2 linked regions of the Canis lupus familiaris genome follow. The protein of the gene in region 1 purifies or fractionates together with the protein of each later gene. This does not show direct contact. Links are inferred from orthologs where the notes say so. Each region holds a gene or a part of one and is shown in the gene's direction. Other genes may lie near its edges.

Region 1 (4,257 bases):
GCAGCCCATTATTCACCAAGATGGTTAGTCACCCCTTTAAAAGTACTTCCTCTGTGCCAGGTCAGTCCTGCACACCTTGACTTACAAGGCAGGTACAACTGCTACCCCCATTGTACAGATGAGGAAACTGAGGCCCCAGCTGGCTCAGTAACCAGCCCAAGGTCATGCAGCCAGGAAGTGCTAAAAGTGGGAATGAAATCTGCTGCTGGCTCCAGAGCCAGTGTCACACACCCTGACCTCCTAAGCAGTTCTCCTAGGAACCTTCCACCTCAGCCACCACAACTGCCTACCCCTTCTCAGGTGATACCCCATTCTGAGCCTCCCTTCCCCATCAGCCCTTTGACCACAAGCACCCCAGACTCTTGGAGCCAAAGGGGATCATATTGCCCACAAGTGAGGAAACAGAGGCCCTGAGAGGTATATGACACACCCGTGTCCCCCCAAATCATAAATGTAGTGGGGAGAAAAATAAAGCAGGTGCATTAAAAACAGGAATATTTATGAAGCGTCCACTGCGACTGGGTTCCAGATACTGGCAACTGCAGGCTGGGAGGGAGGTGGATTTAGCAAGAAAACCAAAGAACAAGATAATTTTGGATTTCAGTGGCAGGTGTTCTTAAGAGAATACTAAAGTGAAAGGCATGAGGAGCCTTTTTCCCTGGAGGGAAGATCTCACCAGGGCGGTGAGCTTTGGTCCTGGGGCCTCACCTTGCTTTGTAGGAACCCGTATGGTGAGGACAGGCACAGTCCTGGGGCTCCTAATTGTATTCTCCCCACAGCCAGGAAAAGAGGGTGGGTAGGTATTTTTATTCCCCTGTTACAGAAGTCGGGGTGGGGGTACCTAGGGCACCGCAAGGTTAGTCAGCTTGCTCAGAATCGCCCCGGGAGGGGGGTGCTCCGTGAGCAGTGGGCGAGCAGTTCTGTCACCTGGGGAAGGGCGGGGCAGCCTTGAGGGGCGGGGCCGCACGCAGCCCCGCCCCTTCCCGAGCCTCGTGTTGTAACCTGTTGACCCAGGCTCGTCGGCCTGGTCCGAGAGGGCAATGAAGGAAGGTCGCGATTGGCTCCCCGCGAAGTGGGCGGGGCCCCCGCAGCTCGGTGCGCGCGCCGCGGGGAGGCGTTGCCGAGGACGGAGCGGGAAGGGGCGTGGCCGCGCGCGGGCGGCCGTTGGCGGCGCGGCCCCGCCCCGGACGTCGCGCGTCGCGGACTGGGCGGCGGCGATTGGTCGGAGCGGTGCGGGGGGCGGGGCGGAAGGTTCTGGAGGGGGCTGGCGGGCTCTGGAAGCTTCCGCCGGACGGGTATATAGGGTCCGGGACGGGGCGGCGGCGAAGCCGGGGTACGGCGACAGCTGGGCGGCGGGCCGCAGGCGGGGGCTATGGGCAAGGACTATTACCAGACGCTGGGCCTAGCCCGCGGCGCGTCGGACGAGGAAATCAAGCGGGCTTACCGCCGCCAGGCGCTACGCTACCACCCGGACAAGAACAAGGAGCCCGGCGCCGAGGAGAAGTTCAAGGAGATCGCCGAGGCCTACGACGTGCTCAGCGACCCGCGCAAGCGCGAGATCTTTGACCGCTACGGGGAAGAAGGTGCGTGCGCGCGCGGCCAGGGGCGCGCCCCGCCGTTTGACAGGAGGGGAAACCGAGGCCCGGCGGCCGGGCTGTGGCAGCCCCGGGGGACGCCCCGGGCCCGGTGGGCGAGCGGCCCCCGCCCTCCGGCCACGCGGGCCTCCGCCCTCGGATTGGCGGCCGTCCGATGGGAGGAGGAGTCCTGGCCGCGCTGCTTGCCCAGAAGCTTCTAGCACGTCTGCGGTCGCCCCTCCCTAGGCTCCTCCACCCACGTCCCCGAGCAGTGCTGGGGGTGCAGTGCGGACGGAGGGGGCCACTGAGGCTGAGCCGGCCCGTAGCACCGCGCCCTAGCGGGCCGGGGCGCACCTGGGCGGAGGTGGCAGGCCGGGGCGTGCAGGGGGGCCGGGGGGGCCTCTGGCTGCGCGCCGGCACGACCTGCGAGTGGCGAGCCTGCGGGTGAGCGCGCCGATTAGCGCCGACCTCGCTCCGGGGCCCCTGTGAGGGCGGAGTGAGGTAATCCCCGTAAAGTGCTTACCTAACCTGGTGCCAGACACGTAGAAGGCAGCCAGCGCCCGAGCGCAGTCCAGGTGCAGGGAGCGGCGGGACCCGCCTCTGCCCGGCCTCCTCGGCGCAGGCCTCTCAGGCCAAGGGAAGGAAGCTGTCTTGTCCAGTTGCCCGTGGATGACTCAGACTGGTTTCTGGGCTGGGTCTTAAGAAATGAAGTGGCTTTTTATGTAAGGATGGTGGCAATTAGTGCCAGGGTGTGAGAATTTGAAAAGCTGCATTTATGGTTTGGCTTTCACTTGTGCTCCGCACACATCCTTAGCTCCCAAGTATTTCTAAGAGTAAACACTGAGCACAGATTCTGGAGGGGGTTTCTTTTTAATCTGATCTTTTAATGAATTTTTGGTAAGTTTTCATATCCTTGAGGGGAGGATAGGGCAGTCAAGAAGTGGCAGGAATTTGGTGGCCCCTGGAGAGGGCACTTGAGCCCTTTGCCACTGCCCTGGCACAGTGAAGTACCTGGAGGGGGGAGTCCCAACTCTGTTGCTGCAGTGGGGGGTTAAAACCTTAGGGTTTTTCCTTACTCTCTTCTGATAGGCTAATAAAATTCCTCCCCCTCCTCCCCATCATTTATGGTTCTCAAGCTTTTTTCTTTTAGTGAGAGAGAGAGGCTCACTGCCAACCATTTCATTTCTCCTGATTTTGCCTTTCAGGCCTAAAGGGTGGTGGCCCCAGTGGTGGCAGCAGCGGTGGTGCTAATGGTACCTCTTTCAGCTACACATTCCATGGAGACCCTCATGCCATGTTTGCTGAGTTCTTCGGTGGCCGAAATCCCTTTGACACCTTTTTTGGGCAGCGGAATGGGGAGGAAGGCATGGACATTGATGACCCATTCTCTAGCTTCCCCATGGGCATGGGTGGCTTCACCAACATGAACTTTGGCCGTTCCCGTCCCGCTCAAGAGCCCACCCGAAAGAAGCAAGATCCCCCCGTCACCCACGACCTTAGGGTCTCGCTTGAAGAGATCTATAGCGGCTGTACCAAGAAGATGAAAATCTCCCACAAGCGACTGAACCCCGATGGAAAGAGCATTCGCAACGAAGACAAGATCTTGACCATCGAAGTGAAGCGGGGGTGGAAAGAAGGGACCAAAATCACCTTCCCTAAGGAAGGCGACCAGACCTCCAACAACATTCCAGCTGATATTGTCTTTGTTTTAAAGGACAAGCCACACAATATCTTTAAGAGAGATGGCTCTGATGTCATTTACCCAGCCAGGATCAGCCTTCGGGAGGTAGGCTACTAATTAGTAGGGTACAGTATGGAGGGAGATGGTTGGTTTTTGAAGCTGTTGGGTATCTGCTTGACAGATCTTTCTGAGCACTTTGGAGCCAGGCTTGAAGGGTAAAATAAGAGCAAAAATAAGACTGACCAGGGTTCTGTTTTTCCAGAGATTAACATGCTAGCTAGTGACCTGGGTAGATCTGGGGCAGGGTCTTAGCTGCAGGGGCCTGATGGCACTTCCCCTCTATCAAACAGCTTCTGGGCAGGAATTGAGCATCCTAAGCTATTTTTCATCTAACGTTCTCTTTGCTCTTCAAGGCTCTGTGTGGCTGCACGGTGAATGTACCCACTCTGGACGGCAGGAGCATCCCCGTCGTGTTTAAAGATGTCATCAGGCCTGGCATGCGGCGAAAAGTTCCTGGAGAAGGCCTCCCCCTCCCCAAAACACCCGAGAAACGCGGGGACCTCATTATTGAGTTTGAAGTAATCTTCCCCGAAAGGATTCCCCAGACGTCAAGAACCGTACTTGAGCAGGTTCTTCCAATATAGAGCCACCTGTGTCTCCCAAGGACTAACCAGGGACCTTTCCAGAGCTCAAGGATTTCCGGACCGTTCCACCAGTTGTGGACCCGTGAGAGGGCGGGAGGGCCCAGGGAGGGCTTTCGTACTGCTGAATGTTTTCCAGAGAATATATTACAATCTTTCAAAGTCGTGCACTAGACTTAAGTGGTTTTTCGAGCGATAGGGCTGCAGGTGGTGGGGACAGCAGGAAAAGGCATTCCAGTCTGTGCCACTGGGTCCTGCAGCCCTCCCAGGATGGGCGCACACCCTCCCCCAGGCCCTGCCCATGGACCAGAGGCAGACCCACAGCTGGACTTGACGCGTCTGCAGTCCCTTTCCTTGTGGC
Region 2 (4,482 bases), on another chromosome or scaffold:
ACCCACCACCAGGGTAGTGTTGAATGAATGAGATTTGATTGTTGAAGAGCTAAGAATGTGTCAAAGTAGAGTTTAGAATAACAAAATATTTTTTAAAAGATTTTATTTGTTCATGAGAGGCAGATAGAGAGAGGCAGAGACACAGGCAGAGGGAGAAACAGGCTCCCTGCAGGGAGCCGGATGCGGGACTCGATCCCAGGACCCTCGGGGTCACACCCTGGGCCAAAGGCAGACACTCAACTGCTGAGCCACCCAGGCGTCTCCAGAATAACAAAACATTTTCAGATGCAATCATAAAGAATACCCTGCAATGTTAGATCTTCAAGCCTCATTGTTCCCGTGTCAATTAAAAATTACAAGTACAGGCAGCCCCCGTGGCATAGCGGTTTAGCTCCGCCTGCAGCCCAGGGTGTGATCCAGGAGACTCGGGATTGAGTCCCAAGTCGGGCTCCGGGCATGGAGCCTGCTTCTCCCTCTGCCTGTGTCTCTGCCTCTCTCTCTGAATAAATAAAAAAAAAATCTTAAAAAAAGAAAATCACAAGTCCTCCCACCCCTACCCTACCCTCTGGTCAGTTTCAAACGGGCTCCTGCGCGGCCGAGCACTCCATCAGCGCCCCCACCCCAGCACCAACAAGGTCTCCGCTGGGGACCCAGGCCTCAGGAAGGCCCCTCCTGCCTTCTCGCAGGATCCAGGCTGGCTGAAGAACTTCGGGTGCAGAGAAGCGACAGGCCGGCTCACACGTTTCAGGGCCTGGAGCCGCTGCAGCTCGCCAGCCCGCCCGGCCCCGCGGCCCTCGCTCCGCAGCTGCCCCCGCCATCAGGCTCCAGGGCCCAGGGCGCCCCGAGGGCGCGGTTCCCGCCGGAGAACCCGGCCCAGGCCGGCGGGCTGCACTCACTCCCCAGCTCCCCAGGCGCCGGCCTTGCGTGCCCGGGTCTTTCACCGGAATCGGGGCGGATGCTCCTTCCCCGGGAGCTCAGCTGCGCAGCGGCCGGCCGCCGGGGCTTTCCGGGACTCCGCCGCGTCCCCGCGGGGACCCCACCGGGCGTGCTCCAGGGCGCGGACCGCCCGGACGCACAGGGCCCCCCACCCTTTCCGGCCCTTCGTTGAACGGAGCCTCTCAAGCTGCCCCTGGGAAAGCAGGGTCCGCCCGGCTCCACGCGGCCCGACCCCTCCACCGCCGCTCCCGCCCTCCGCCCGGGGCCGCGCCTTCCGCGGAGCGCCAGGCCACGCCCACTTCCTCGCGGCGCCCCGCCCCCAGCCTGCGGCACCGCGCCCGCTCGGACCAATAAGCGGCCGGGGTAGGGGCTCGCCGCGGAGCCCGGAAGGGAGTGGGCGGGGCGTGAGGTCCCGGCAGCCAATCGACGGGCGGGGGGGCGCTGCGGCGACATGGGCGGGGCCAGGTCAGGCCGCGGTGAAGACATGGCGGCGGCGGCGGCGCTTGGTCCGGGTCCGCTCCGCGTGGGCTTTGTGGGCGCGGGACGTATGGCCGAGGCCATCGCGCAGGGCTTCATCCGAGCAGGTGGGGCGCCGCGGGCGTGGGGCGCGTGGGTCCCCGGGCCTGGGAGCCAGCGGGCGTCCCACGCCGGCCGGGTGTACGCGGGAAGGGCTCACCTGTCCGGAGCTCACCTGCCGGGAGCTCACTTGCCCGGAGCTCACCTGCCGGGAGCTCACCTGCCCGGAGGTCACCTGCCCGGAGCTCACCTGCCCGGGGCTCACCTCCTAGAGCTCACCTGCGCGGAGCTCACCTGCTCGGAGCTCACCTGCCCGGAGCTCACGTCCCGGAGCGGAGGCTCTGGGCGGGGGTCACCAGGGAGCCCTCCGCGGGGAGTGGTAAGGGCGCAGCAGGACCACCTCTCCTTCGCTGGGCACGGCAGCAGGGTGCGCGTGGGGCGCCAGGGCTGCTTGTCCCGGTGAGCCGCGTGCCCACCGCCAGCGCTTGCGACGTGGGTGGTCCAAGCCTAGGGTGCTGCGAGTTTGTAGAATAAGATTTTGAGTTTGGAAGATTTACGAGAACGTAACATATTTTAGTAATTTTTAATGCTGATTAAAACTGATATTTGGAAGGATAGTATTTTGTTTACATGGGGTTAAATAAAATATATTACAATTAACTTTACCTTTTTTTTCTTACTTGCTTTTAACATGGCAACTAGAAAGTGTGAAGCTGGGTCTTTGGTCCCAGTAGTATTGTTCTTGGACGGTGCTACCTTTGCCCCCGGGGATCTCCCACCAACTTCTGGTTTCCTTCCGGCCTCGGGTGGTTTGACCTTCGAGACTCTGATTCTGTTTCCGATGTGATGTGTGCAGCAGCTGCACCCCTTGGCGGGCTGCAGGCGTGGTCCACCTCCTGATGGGCATGGGCGGGGGATGGTTCTTCATCCTTCACACCGTAGGGTGTTGAGCTACCTTCCTGGTCTGTCCCCCCTTGATGTTGGTAGCACCCCCCAGTTAGGACAGCCGGAACTGTCTCGAGGTTGCACACGTGCCCTGGGGCCTGGAGGCCAGGACCTCCCTGGGGGAGAACGGTTGGTTCACGGTGAGGCACGTCCTAGTCTTACTCCAGGGGATTTGGAAACCGTCATGTGTAGATTCTGGGCTGGCTTTCTGCCGTCCTCCACAGTCACGGTCCAGAAGGGTGAAAATCATCAGAAAATAGTTTATGGCAAGTCTCAGGTGCTTTAGGTGTACAACTCTGCAGTATCACCTTCCTCCCAGGGCTGTGCAGGTTCACCATACTCCGCGTAGGCACACCTGGAGGTGGTCGCTGTCACAACTCACTGGCTCGGTGTTCGGGTTGTGGGGCGCACTTCTGCCTTCCTGGTAGACCTTACAGAAGTGTAATCTCCCCAGCCCTGCACCCCACAAATGCAGATAATTTCTACCAAATGGGGATTTAGCCCCTGCTTGGACATCCCAACACAGACACACACCCCACTCCCAGGGAAGCTCAGCACCTACTGGGCCTCCCTCCCCACCCTGCCCCGGCTCTGTCCCCGCCTTCCTGTCCCCAGAGGCACAGGCCCCTGAGATGGAGTCCTCATGAGACTAGGCAAGCTCTGGGCCCCTGTGTCTAGCAGAGCCTCTGGACTCGGCAGCAGCAGAGAATGGAGCGGAGTGCCTGGTCCCGGCTGCACGCAGCACCCCTGCCAATCACTTGGGTTCTTACAGAGCGTCAGGCCAGCTGGGGCCAGGATGGCCTGGGCATGGCTGAGCAGAAGCCAGTAAGGGGCAGCCAGGCTGGTTCCTGCTCTTCTTTCCTTCCACTCCACATCCTCACCGACCCTTCTGCTTTTGCCTTTCTCTCCAGGAAAAGTAGAAGCTCAGCACATAGTGGCCAGTGCACCGAGTGACAGGAACCTCTGCCACTTCCAGGTGGGCTGGGCCTCAGCTCTTCTGCATTGAGGCTGTCCTGGGGGGTTCATGGAGGCTCTTGGCTCCTGAGACAGTTCTTGGGTCCAGGGAAGTGCTGCTTGTTAATTAATTAATTAATTAATATTATTATTATTATTTTAGTGCTGCTTGTTTAGGTAAACTTTTGAGACTGGCTGGGCTGGGGAAGAGGAGGTCAGGTCAAAGACCAGAAGGAAAGTCGAGGTTGTGGGGGATGCTAGGACAGAGTAAAGGGGGTATGTGTGCATGTGCAGAGTAAAGGGGGTATGTGTGCATGTGCATGTACATACACACACGTGTACCCATGCATTGGGTTGGGCAGAGACGGTTGTGGGCACTAACTGGGGTCAGAGGGCATGAGGAAGTGCTGACGTCAGGGGTCAGGGGTCCTGAGCCAGACGGATGGTCTGGGTGAGTCTTAGGCAGTGGGAGTGGGGGTGGTGCAGGCATTCGCAATGGGAGAGACCCACGGGGACCCCTGGGGCTGCAGGGTGGCCTCCCGCGGGAAGTGCCACAGTCTGGGAGGCCGTCCCACTTACCCCAGCCCTGATCCCACTGTCACCATTGCAGGCTCTGGGCTGCCAGACCACCCACTCCAACCAGGAGGTTCTGCAGAGCTGCTTGCTGGTCTTCTTTGCTACCAAGCCCTATGTCCTGCCAGCTGTCCTGGCAGAGGTGGCCTCTGTGGTAACCACTGAGCACATCTTGGTGTCTGTGGCTGCTGGAGTGTCTCTGAGCACCCTGGAGGAGGTGAGTGGCCTGTGGGGTTGTGTGGGAGCTGAGGCTCTGAGCCCAGAGTCCGTTCTGCTGGCCAGACTCTGTTTCCCACCCCTTGCCATCCCACACTGGTGCCCTTGAGGAAGGTGAGATGGGTGAAGCATGTGATGGCCTCCCGGACAACCTGGAGAGGTGGCCAGTGGCCCAGGGGGCTGGGCTTCCCTATCCTGCTGGCACCATACCCAGGACACAGGGGAGGGAGCCCGCAGCTGGCTGAGGCCTGGGCCTGCCTGGGGGCGCCGCTTGCACATGTCCCCTGACCCCCGCTTCTCTCTGACCAGCTGCTGCCGCCGACCACACGGGTGCTACGAGTC

The links.
Region 2: the proteins of DNAJB1 (region 1) and PYCR3 purify together in Homo sapiens (affinity purification with mass spectrometry; 3 studies listed by BioGRID and IntAct, with this or other methods). This does not show direct contact. The link is inferred for Canis lupus familiaris from reciprocal best matches to the Homo sapiens genes DNAJB1 and PYCR3.

Annotation. Positions count from the first base shown.
Region 1 is NC_049241.1:48,526,275-48,530,531, forward strand, and holds the start of DNAJB1 (dnaJ homolog subfamily B member 1), read left to right. Parts: upstream 1-1,280; 5' UTR 1,281-1,372; coding exon 1,373-1,583; intron 1,584-2,779; coding exon 2,780-3,360; intron 3,361-3,668; coding exon 3,669-3,899; 3' UTR 3,900-4,257. UniProt on the Homo sapiens protein: Interacts with HSP70 and can stimulate its ATPase activity. Stimulates the association between HSC70 and HIP. Negatively regulates heat shock-induced HSF1 transcriptional activity during the attenuation and recovery phase period of the heat shock response.
Region 2 is NC_049234.1:38,005,536-38,010,017, reverse strand, and holds the start of PYCR3 (pyrroline-5-carboxylate reductase 3), read left to right. Parts: upstream 1-1,390; 5' UTR 1,391-1,420; coding exon 1,421-1,520; intron 1,521-3,308; coding exon 3,309-3,373; intron 3,374-3,961; coding exon 3,962-4,141; intron 4,142-4,449; coding exon 4,450-4,482.